Ovis aries: one gene and its partner. The protein of the gene in region 2 interacts with the protein of the main gene of each other region in a pairwise test. Links are inferred from orthologs where the notes say so. Each region holds a gene or a part of one and is shown on either strand. Other genes may lie near its edges.

Region 1 (4,179 bases), on a different chromosome or scaffold from region 2:
ATAATGCTGGCTGGACCACCCACTTTAAGAGTATGGTGCCAACAAGCGATTCCTAAAGCAAATGGAAACCCAGGCGTAGGGGCACAAGGAGTTGGACACAACTGAGCGACTGATACTTCCACTTTCAGGATCTACTTTTGGCATAAACTATGGGGACAGAGAGAAAGCTGAGAAAATATTCCACGGGGGCATCTCCAATGGAACCTCAGCGAGACCAGACAGCCTCTGACCCCCTGGACTGGATGCCTCCAGCTGCGCGTTACCACCGTCACCCATACTTGCCTTCATTCGCTGTGAAGAGTACCGGCCGAAAATATTTTTTGTGGAGGCTTCAGTGCCTTTGAGAAGCTCCACAATTCTTAGGCAGTGGAAGTAGTGAATGTCTGGAAAGCAAAGAAAAACAAAGACTTTGGAAATAATAGTCTCTAACCCACCACTGCAGCCTCCGCATATGGCTGACTCATGTATATGCCAGTAACTTTAGAGGGCACAGCTCTCCCCTTCATCATTTTGTGTTGAAATAAACCAGCCTCTATACCCCAAATAAAAGCCTCTCTTTCTTTAGAGGTCAGTCCTATGACTAAAGAAAGAGGAACAGCTCAGCAGATTTATACCACCCCAAGAAAGACGGGGGTCCAGTAATGCAGCCCCGAAGCACTCACAGGATCCAGAGAGCAGCTGGGCGATCTCTTGGCTCTCTGGCATGTCCTGGATGGCGGCATTGATCTTCTCTCGGATGGTCAATACTAGACTCTGCCATTTCAGGTTGCAGTGCCTTCTATCTACCAGCCAGTCTATAGCAGAAACCCAAATCATAGCATTCCCATGGCCAAAACTGCATCACTGATTCAAGTGAAATATGCTAAGGCATTGGCTAAAAGTTGTACTCATATTGGTTAAGGTGTGGGGGTCACGGGAAGATGGGAATGAAGACAGGCTCAAAGGGATGCTTGGGGCTAAACAGATTCCAGCAACCTAACTTTATCCACAATGTGACTTTATAAAGTAACTGCCTCAACACAGGATAAAGGAAAGCTTTCAATTGGTCCTGACATCAAAGTGACACTTTGGACCACTCTAAATTCTCCATGATATTTTTGCTTCCATGGATAATTATATCTTTCTTACTGCCATTCAATTTCTACTTTCTCAGGGCTGGGATTAACCATGACAATGAAAAACACAAGTCGGTTACACCAAATACCAGATGAATGAACAACTGCAAAGCCCCTAAGGACTAAATAACACTGGTCTACTCTTATCAGCGAAGCACCATCCTGCACACATGGATACCAGTGTGACTGATCTCCTGGATTCTGGGCCAGATCTGTTTTCAGTTGAGGGTATAGGTGGATGAGAGCTATGTACATTTCCTCATAGGAGAGAGCTAAGACCTAGACTTTGTGGTCAGCTGGTCCTGGTTCTAATTACCAACTTTCTTGGGCAAGTCTCTCAACCTCTCTGTGCCTCAGTTTCTCTACATGTAAAATGGGCATGATAAATATACTGAGTACAAACGGTAGAACACTGAACATCATGCCTGGCGCATGGCAAGGGCTCAATGAATTGTAGTGGTCTTCATTTTCATAATGTTAAGCCCATAAAACAGCACTTGGTATAGAATAAACCCTCAATAAATGGTTGGGTTTTTACCAGTCCTTTTCAGGACCAATAACAAGCATATACATCAAGAGTGTACAGGTCCTGAAGAGCTGGGACAAATCCAAAATGAAGTTAAAGACGCTCCACTAAGTGGCCACCTTGCCCTTGTTAAGAAATCTGCTAACTGGTCAAATGCTGGGAGCCCACACTAGTTATCAGTTATATCCCCATTGCTGCACTCCACTAAAATCTCCAAAAACAAAAATTATGTAGATGTCACAGAAGTGGAAGCAAAGGGACGACACAGTCAAACAGATGTCATCTTAATGACACAACTGGCATCAAAACAATTAATTCAAAGACCATTTAAAAATCCAGGAGCTGTGCACTGCCCTAGAGGGGTCAGAGTGAAGAGGCCCTTCCCTGGCTCTGAACTAGAGAGGTGGTATATAGACGCGATACAGACAGCAGGGAGATGGTCTGGCCATTAAAAGGTTTTCTTTTCAACTGGACCTACGTGCCTTTTCCTCCTAAAGTCAAAGGAAAAAATAAAAAGGAAGAAAGTTTTTTTTTCCAGCGTAATACAATACTGGAACCTGACAGACTTAGGTTCTAACTTCAGATCTGCCATTCGGCAGCTGATCATCTTTAAGGCAAGCCTTCAACTCTCCTCTGTCCCTAAAATACATGACTGACAACATGTTATATACGTTTAAATAGAAAACACAGGTCAAGTATAGACTCTATGCATGGTTCCTTCCCGCTCCTTTTACTGAGGCAGGTCCAGCCACAGATGGGAGCACAGAACAGAGCGAGTGGTCGGCGGGTCCGCTGTTGGTGACAGAGGGCCAGGGGGCCAGGTCTCCCCTTGACAGCTAGGTGAGCGGGGGCGCCCCTCCTACCGAGTAGCTTGCTGGTCTGGATGTCGATGGGCACGTGCTGATGGTCCTGGCGGGAAACACGGCGGGGAAAGGTGCGTGAGTGCTGCGAGCTGACAAGCCGCTCGCGCGCTCACTTCATCGCCCCAACCGCCACCCTGTGGGGCCAGCACAACGGGCCGGGGAGGGCGCCCCCGGAGAGAGCCTGAGGAAGCATGTCAGGAAAGGACCGGCTGAACTCAGCCCAGGGGCCCCAGGGCAGCCCCCCATTTCCCCAGCTGCTGTTCCCCCACCTGCATCTTTCCTCCACTTCCGTTTCCGGCCTCCGACCGGGACACGCCCCGCCTACCACTAATCCAGGGCTGTTCTGGCTGAGCCTCGGGTTAGGCACAGATGGGTCTTCTCGGGCCACGTCACCGCCTTCCTCAGAGCCAATCGGGAAGCGCGCTCCATCCCAGGCCTCAAGCCCCACCCACGCCGGGGTTCCGAGTGGCTGAGCCCGGGAAGGGCGGGAGAAGAGGAGCCAGCCAATGGGAGACGCGAGGCGGGCTCAAGACCTGGCAGGAGCTGGGGCGCCCGGAAAGGGCTGCAGAGGCTGCAGAATCCCAGCAGGCGGCGCCCTGGAGCTGATCCCAGTCGCTCCCGGCCAGACAGGCGCGGAGCCCTCTGCGTAAAGATTAACGAGTCGGCCGACAGGGTCCTAGCGCCTACTGAGGAACCTAGAGGTCCTTGATGTTGTTTATTTATTTATTTTTTTAATGATGTCATTTTTTAATTTTGAACATAAGTGGGAAAAAATTTTGAATACAAGAGTAGAAATGCAATTCCAGAGGAAAACATTCCAGTGCATTGTGGTTCTTTGTGGGGTAGAAGATGGTGATAATGCTGCCCATAACTTGATGTTGTTTAGATACGCTCAGTCGTATCCGACTCTTTGCGACCCCGTGAATAGGAGCACTCCAGGCTTCCCTGTCGTAAACCATCCCCTGGAGTTTGCTCAGACTCATATCCATTGAGTCGGTGATGCCATCCAACCATCTCATCCTCTGTCGCCCCCTTCTCCTCCTGCCCCCAATATTTCCCAGCATCAAGGTCTTTTCCAATGAGTCAACTCTTCGCATCAGGTGGCCAAAGTATTGGAGCTTCAGCTTCAGCATCAGTCCTTCCAGTGAATAGTCAGGGTTGACTTCCTTTAGGATTGACTGGTTTGATCTCCTTGCAGTCCAAGAGACTCTCAAGAAGAGTCTTTTTAGAAACGCCCTACTTGCCTCGCTTTACCGTGGATCATGGTTTAAAAGTCTTTTTTGGCACATTACCTTCTCACTGAATTTATGTAATAGACAAGTGTTGAACACCTGCTACGTGTTATGTGATTAGGGCAGGGATGGGGAGGGAGGAGGGTCAAAGGAGGCATCCCAAAGATAACACCTAAATTGAGTGTTAAAAGAAGAGCTGCAGAAAGAGGGAGATGTGGGAGTGGTGTTCCCGGTTGGAGTAGACTGTACAAAGCTTTGCAGGCTTTGCAACGAGGTGCAGGGAAAAACAGGCGGGAAAGACTAGCAAGATAACTACGGGAGTCCCGTGTATAATTAAAATGCCCTTGTTAAAATATATGAACTGGACTTCCTTGATGGTGCAGTAGATAGGAATCCACTTGACACTGCAGGGGACCTGGATTTGATCCCTGGTCTGGGAAGAT
Region 2 (4,173 bases):
AAAGCCTTTGACTGTCTGAATCACAAGAAACTGTGAAAAATTTTTCAAGAGATGGGAATACTGGAGCACCTGAACTGCCTCCTGAGAAATCTGTATGCAGGTCAAGAAGTAACAGTTAGAACTGGACATGGAACAACAGACTGGTTCCAAATCGGGAAAGGAGTACGTCAAGGCTGTATATTGTCACCCTACTTATTTAACTTCTATGCAGAGTACATCATGAGAAATGCTGGGCTGGAGGAAGCACAAGCTGGAATCAAGATTGCTGGAAGAAACATCAATAACCTCAGATATGCAGATGACACCACTCTTATGGCAGAAAGCAAAGAACTAAAGAGCCTCTTCATGAAAGTAAAAGAGGAAAGTGAAAAAGTTGTCTTAAAACTCAACATTCAGAAAACTAAGATCATGGCATCTGGTCCCATCTCTTCATGGCAAATAGGTGGGAAACAATGGAAACAGTGTCAGACTTTATTTTGGGGGGCTCCAAAATCACTGCAGATGGTGACTACAACCATGAAATTAAAAGCCACTTGCTCCGTGGGAGAAAAGCTATGACCAACCTAGACAGCATATTAAAAAGCAGCGATTACTTTGCCAACAAAGGTCCATCTTATCAAAGCTATGGTTTTTCCAGTAGTCATGTATGGAGGTGAGAGTTGGACCATAAAGAAAACTGAGTGCTGAAGAACTGATGCTTTTGAACTGTGGTGTTGGAGAAGACTCTTGAGCGTCCCTTGAACTGCAAGGAGATCCAACCAGTCCATCCTAAAGGAAATCAGTCCTGAATATTCATTGGAAGGACTGATGCTGAAGCTGAAACTTCAATCCTTTGGCCACCTGATGTGAAGAACTGACACAATGGAAAAGACCTTGATGCTGGGAAAGATTGAAAGTGGGAGGAGAAGGGGACGACAGAGGATGAGATTGGATGGCATCACCGACTCGATGGACATGAGTTTCAGGAAGCTCTGGGAGTTGGTGATGGACAGGGAATCCAGGCGTGCTGCAGTCCATGGGGTTGCCAAGAGCTGGACACGACTGAACAACTGAACTGAACTGAGCTGATTCATACTTTACAAGAGATGTGGTTTTTCCAGATGGCACAGTGGTAAACAATCTGTTTGCAGATGCAGGAGACAAGGGTTCGATCCCTGAGTCAGGAAGATCCCCTGAAGAAGAAAATGGCAACCAACTCCAGTATTTTTGCCTGGAAAACCCATGGACAGAGGAGCCTGGTGGGCTAGAATCCATGGGGTTGCAAAGAGTCAGACACGACTGAACACACACACACACACACACACACACACACACACACACACATTCATACTATAATCAAATCAAACTGGTGGTGGTTTGTTTGTGTTTTTTTTTTTTTTTCACCACTCCAAATTAACTGGGTTTTGCTTAGTGAAAAGAGCATCTGAGGCTCTTATTTAGAGCTTACTACGTATCTCAGCACCAGGTTGGGTGTTCACATCCATGGCCACAGTCAAACCCACAGCGACTCTATGAGGTCACTGTCATTGTCCCATTTCATAAATGGGGCAACTAAGACACAGTTAAGTGCAGGGTTGAGATGCAAGCTAACTGTCTCAACCTCCAGCTCTTAAGGCTCTGGTATTACCCAAATCGCATTTGCCTGCCCAACTGACCATACATTTTGCAAAGTGCTTTCACACACAGCAGATATCCAGACGAGATGGGGAGGGGGGAGGTTACCAGCGTTCTTTTGTGTATGTGATGAAATCCGAGGTTCAGCGCTGCTAAAGTGAAAGTGAAATCGCTCAGTCGTGCCCGACTCTTTGCGACCAGGCTCCTCCGACCGTGGAATTCTCCAGGCAAGAGTACTGGAGTGGGGTGCCGTTTCCCTCTCCAGGAGATCTTCCCAACCCAGGGATCGAACCCGGGTCTCCCGCATTGCAGGCAGACGCTTTACCATCTGAGCCACCGGGGAAGACTCAAGAAGCTGTCAAAGTTACCCGCCTCCTTCCAGTCCAGCAAGGACACATAACTCCCTCACTCCAAATCTCATTCTTATCCCAAAGTCTCAAACTCCTTTGCACGTGTATTTTAAAAGCGAGATGGCAGGGGACATCCTGCCATTCCTGCAAAGCAGCTGTGCACTTCACGGCCTCAGTGTCAACGCTGAGCGCTGACAGCGTTGACAGCTTGACCGGGGCTCCCCGGCTCCAGCTCCGAGACAGCCGAGGGCATCACAGATGCGGAGGAAGTGGGAGGTGAAACTGCTCGCAGAGCAGCCCCTTGGGACGGTGCCAGCACCGCGTCCCCCATCCCACCCCAACCTCCTCCCTCCAGGTCCTCGAGTGCTGAAACCCGAGACTCTGCGAGGTGTCAGGACGCTGTTCCCGGACCAGGCGGCGGGGCGTCCCCTGTCCGGCGAGTGCGCAGGGGAGGGCGCGCGGAGCCCCGAGCCTCGGCTGGCTCAGTCCCCGGGCGCAGCGAAACCCAGCCGCGCGCTCAAGCCGCCTTCCTCGGCCACCGGGACCCACGGGGGCGGGAACTGCGGCTCCCGGGATCTCAGCACCGTCTTCCGGGAGGACCTGGCCCGGCTCGGCGCTGGCGGGCAGCCCCAGGCCCGACAAAGACTTCAGCTCGGCACGCCACGCGCCCTGCCTCAGTTTCCCTCACCCCGCAAGAGTGCAGAAGCCCTAGATATTAACCGAGGCGCACCCCGGACCTAAACGATTTCCAGAGGACAGAGCTCACCCTCGCCGAGGAACCCTCGGCCCGACCCGCCGGGCGGCCGTGACAGCACCCCTACCTGCGCGGTGCCCCCTGCCGCCACCGGCCGGGGCGCCCTGGGGAGCCCCGCCCAGCATGCGCCCCGCCGGCTCCTCCCGATCCGCCTCCGCCTTCTCCATCTCCGCTGCGGCCAGAGGGCTCTGTGCACCCGAGGCCCGCGTCCGGGAAGCTAAAGGCCGAGCCGGACGGGAAGTGGGGAGGGGGCTGGCGAGGAAGGGGAGGCTCCTTCCTCCTCCCGGGCTGGACCGGCTGTTTCCTCTCCAGCCTCGGGGCAGGCACGCGCGCGCGCACACACACACACACACACACACACACACACACACACACACGCGGACGGCTGGGGCGGGCGGGGCGCGCAAGCCCGCAGCCTGGGTCACAGACCTCGGAGAGCTTATTTTTCACTCTCCCTCGGTGTTGGACGAAAATGAGAGGGGAAGTGCGGTGGAGAGGACGGGTGTTCGGGAAGGGAGAGACTAGGAGGCCCTCCTTGGGGGACGGGAGGGTTCCTCCCAGACACTAATTAGGGAAGTGACCACAGGGTTGATGGAAGAGCTGGACGGAGTGAGAGGGACTCTTTTCGCTAGGAGCGGGGGGCGGGGGGAGGATGAGGGGAGACTGCAGCTCACCCTGGGAAAGAGAGCGGGGCGAGTAGTTCTACATGAAATGAGGATCCAACTGTTTGAATCTTCTGGCAGCACTGGGCTGGCCCCAGATCCGCCTCCCCACGTTGGGCAGCCAGCCCAGGACACAACTGCGATCCGTGCTGAGTTCCTAAGCCAGCCCACTCGCCTCCTCTTGTATTCATGCAGGAGTCTCCTGGAGCATCTCTGAAGACGCACCTGCCAGAAATGGTTCTCGCCCTTAAGGAGCTTCCCCGGCCTCCTATGGGGAAGATAAACATGAGCGTGTAAAACTAAATCATGACGTACAGCAGAATATGCAAGAGCCAAAGTCTGTCATGAAACACTGTAGAAGTGGGAGGAGGGGCGGTAAGAGGCAGTGAAAGGTCGGAAAGGCTCCCTGGAGGAAGGGGAAGGATCGTCCTAGAACTGCAGGAGAGTCAAGGTCGTTCAAAAGATCAGGACCATGTGAGTGAAAACACCTATATATGCTTAGAAGTCGGAGTGTTGTGGGACAGAATGAATGTGAGCGTTAATATGAAGAGTGTGGGGAACCATTGGATGAGGCTGAATGTAATGACGGTCACCACCAAGCAGAGATCCGGATTCACCGCAGTTTGTGAGATTAGAACAAGCTGTTTGCTTAGCTAGTTGACAGAAATGGGAGGCAAGAGGTGACCAGCACTAAATGATGTGGAAATGCCAGAACTGCCTTGGTACACTGTAAAGGAATTATCTAAAGGCTTAGGGAGAGTGAAATATTAGCATAGACTTATCACATAAGACC

The links. The genes of interacting proteins can lie anywhere in the genome.
Region 1: the proteins of DISC1 (region 2) and CDK5RAP3 interact in a two-hybrid assay, tested with the Homo sapiens proteins (2 studies listed by BioGRID and IntAct). The link is inferred for Ovis aries from reciprocal best matches to the Homo sapiens genes DISC1 and CDK5RAP3.

Annotation. Positions count from the first base shown.
Region 1 is NC_056064.1:38,227,377-38,231,555, forward strand, and holds the start of CDK5RAP3 (CDK5 regulatory subunit-associated protein 3), read right to left. Parts: upstream 2,801-4,179; 5' UTR 2,780-2,800; coding exon 2,774-2,779; intron 2,551-2,773; coding exon 2,505-2,550; intron 2,133-2,504; exon of another isoform or gene 2,091-2,132; coding exon of another isoform or gene 2,069-2,090; intron 795-2,068; coding exon 663-794; intron 384-662; coding exon 283-383; intron 1-282. UniProt on the Homo sapiens protein: Substrate adapter of E3 ligase complexes mediating ufmylation, the covalent attachment of the ubiquitin-like modifier UFM1 to substrate proteins, and which is involved in various processes, such as ribosome recycling and reticulophagy (also called ER-phagy).
Region 2 is NC_056078.1:3,814,036-3,818,208, reverse strand, and holds the start of DISC1 (disrupted in schizophrenia 1 protein), read right to left. Parts: upstream 2,961-4,173; 5' UTR 2,886-2,960; coding exon 2,786-2,885; intron 1-2,785. UniProt on the Homo sapiens protein: Involved in the regulation of multiple aspects of embryonic and adult neurogenesis. Required for neural progenitor proliferation in the ventrical/subventrical zone during embryonic brain development and in the adult dentate gyrus of the hippocampus.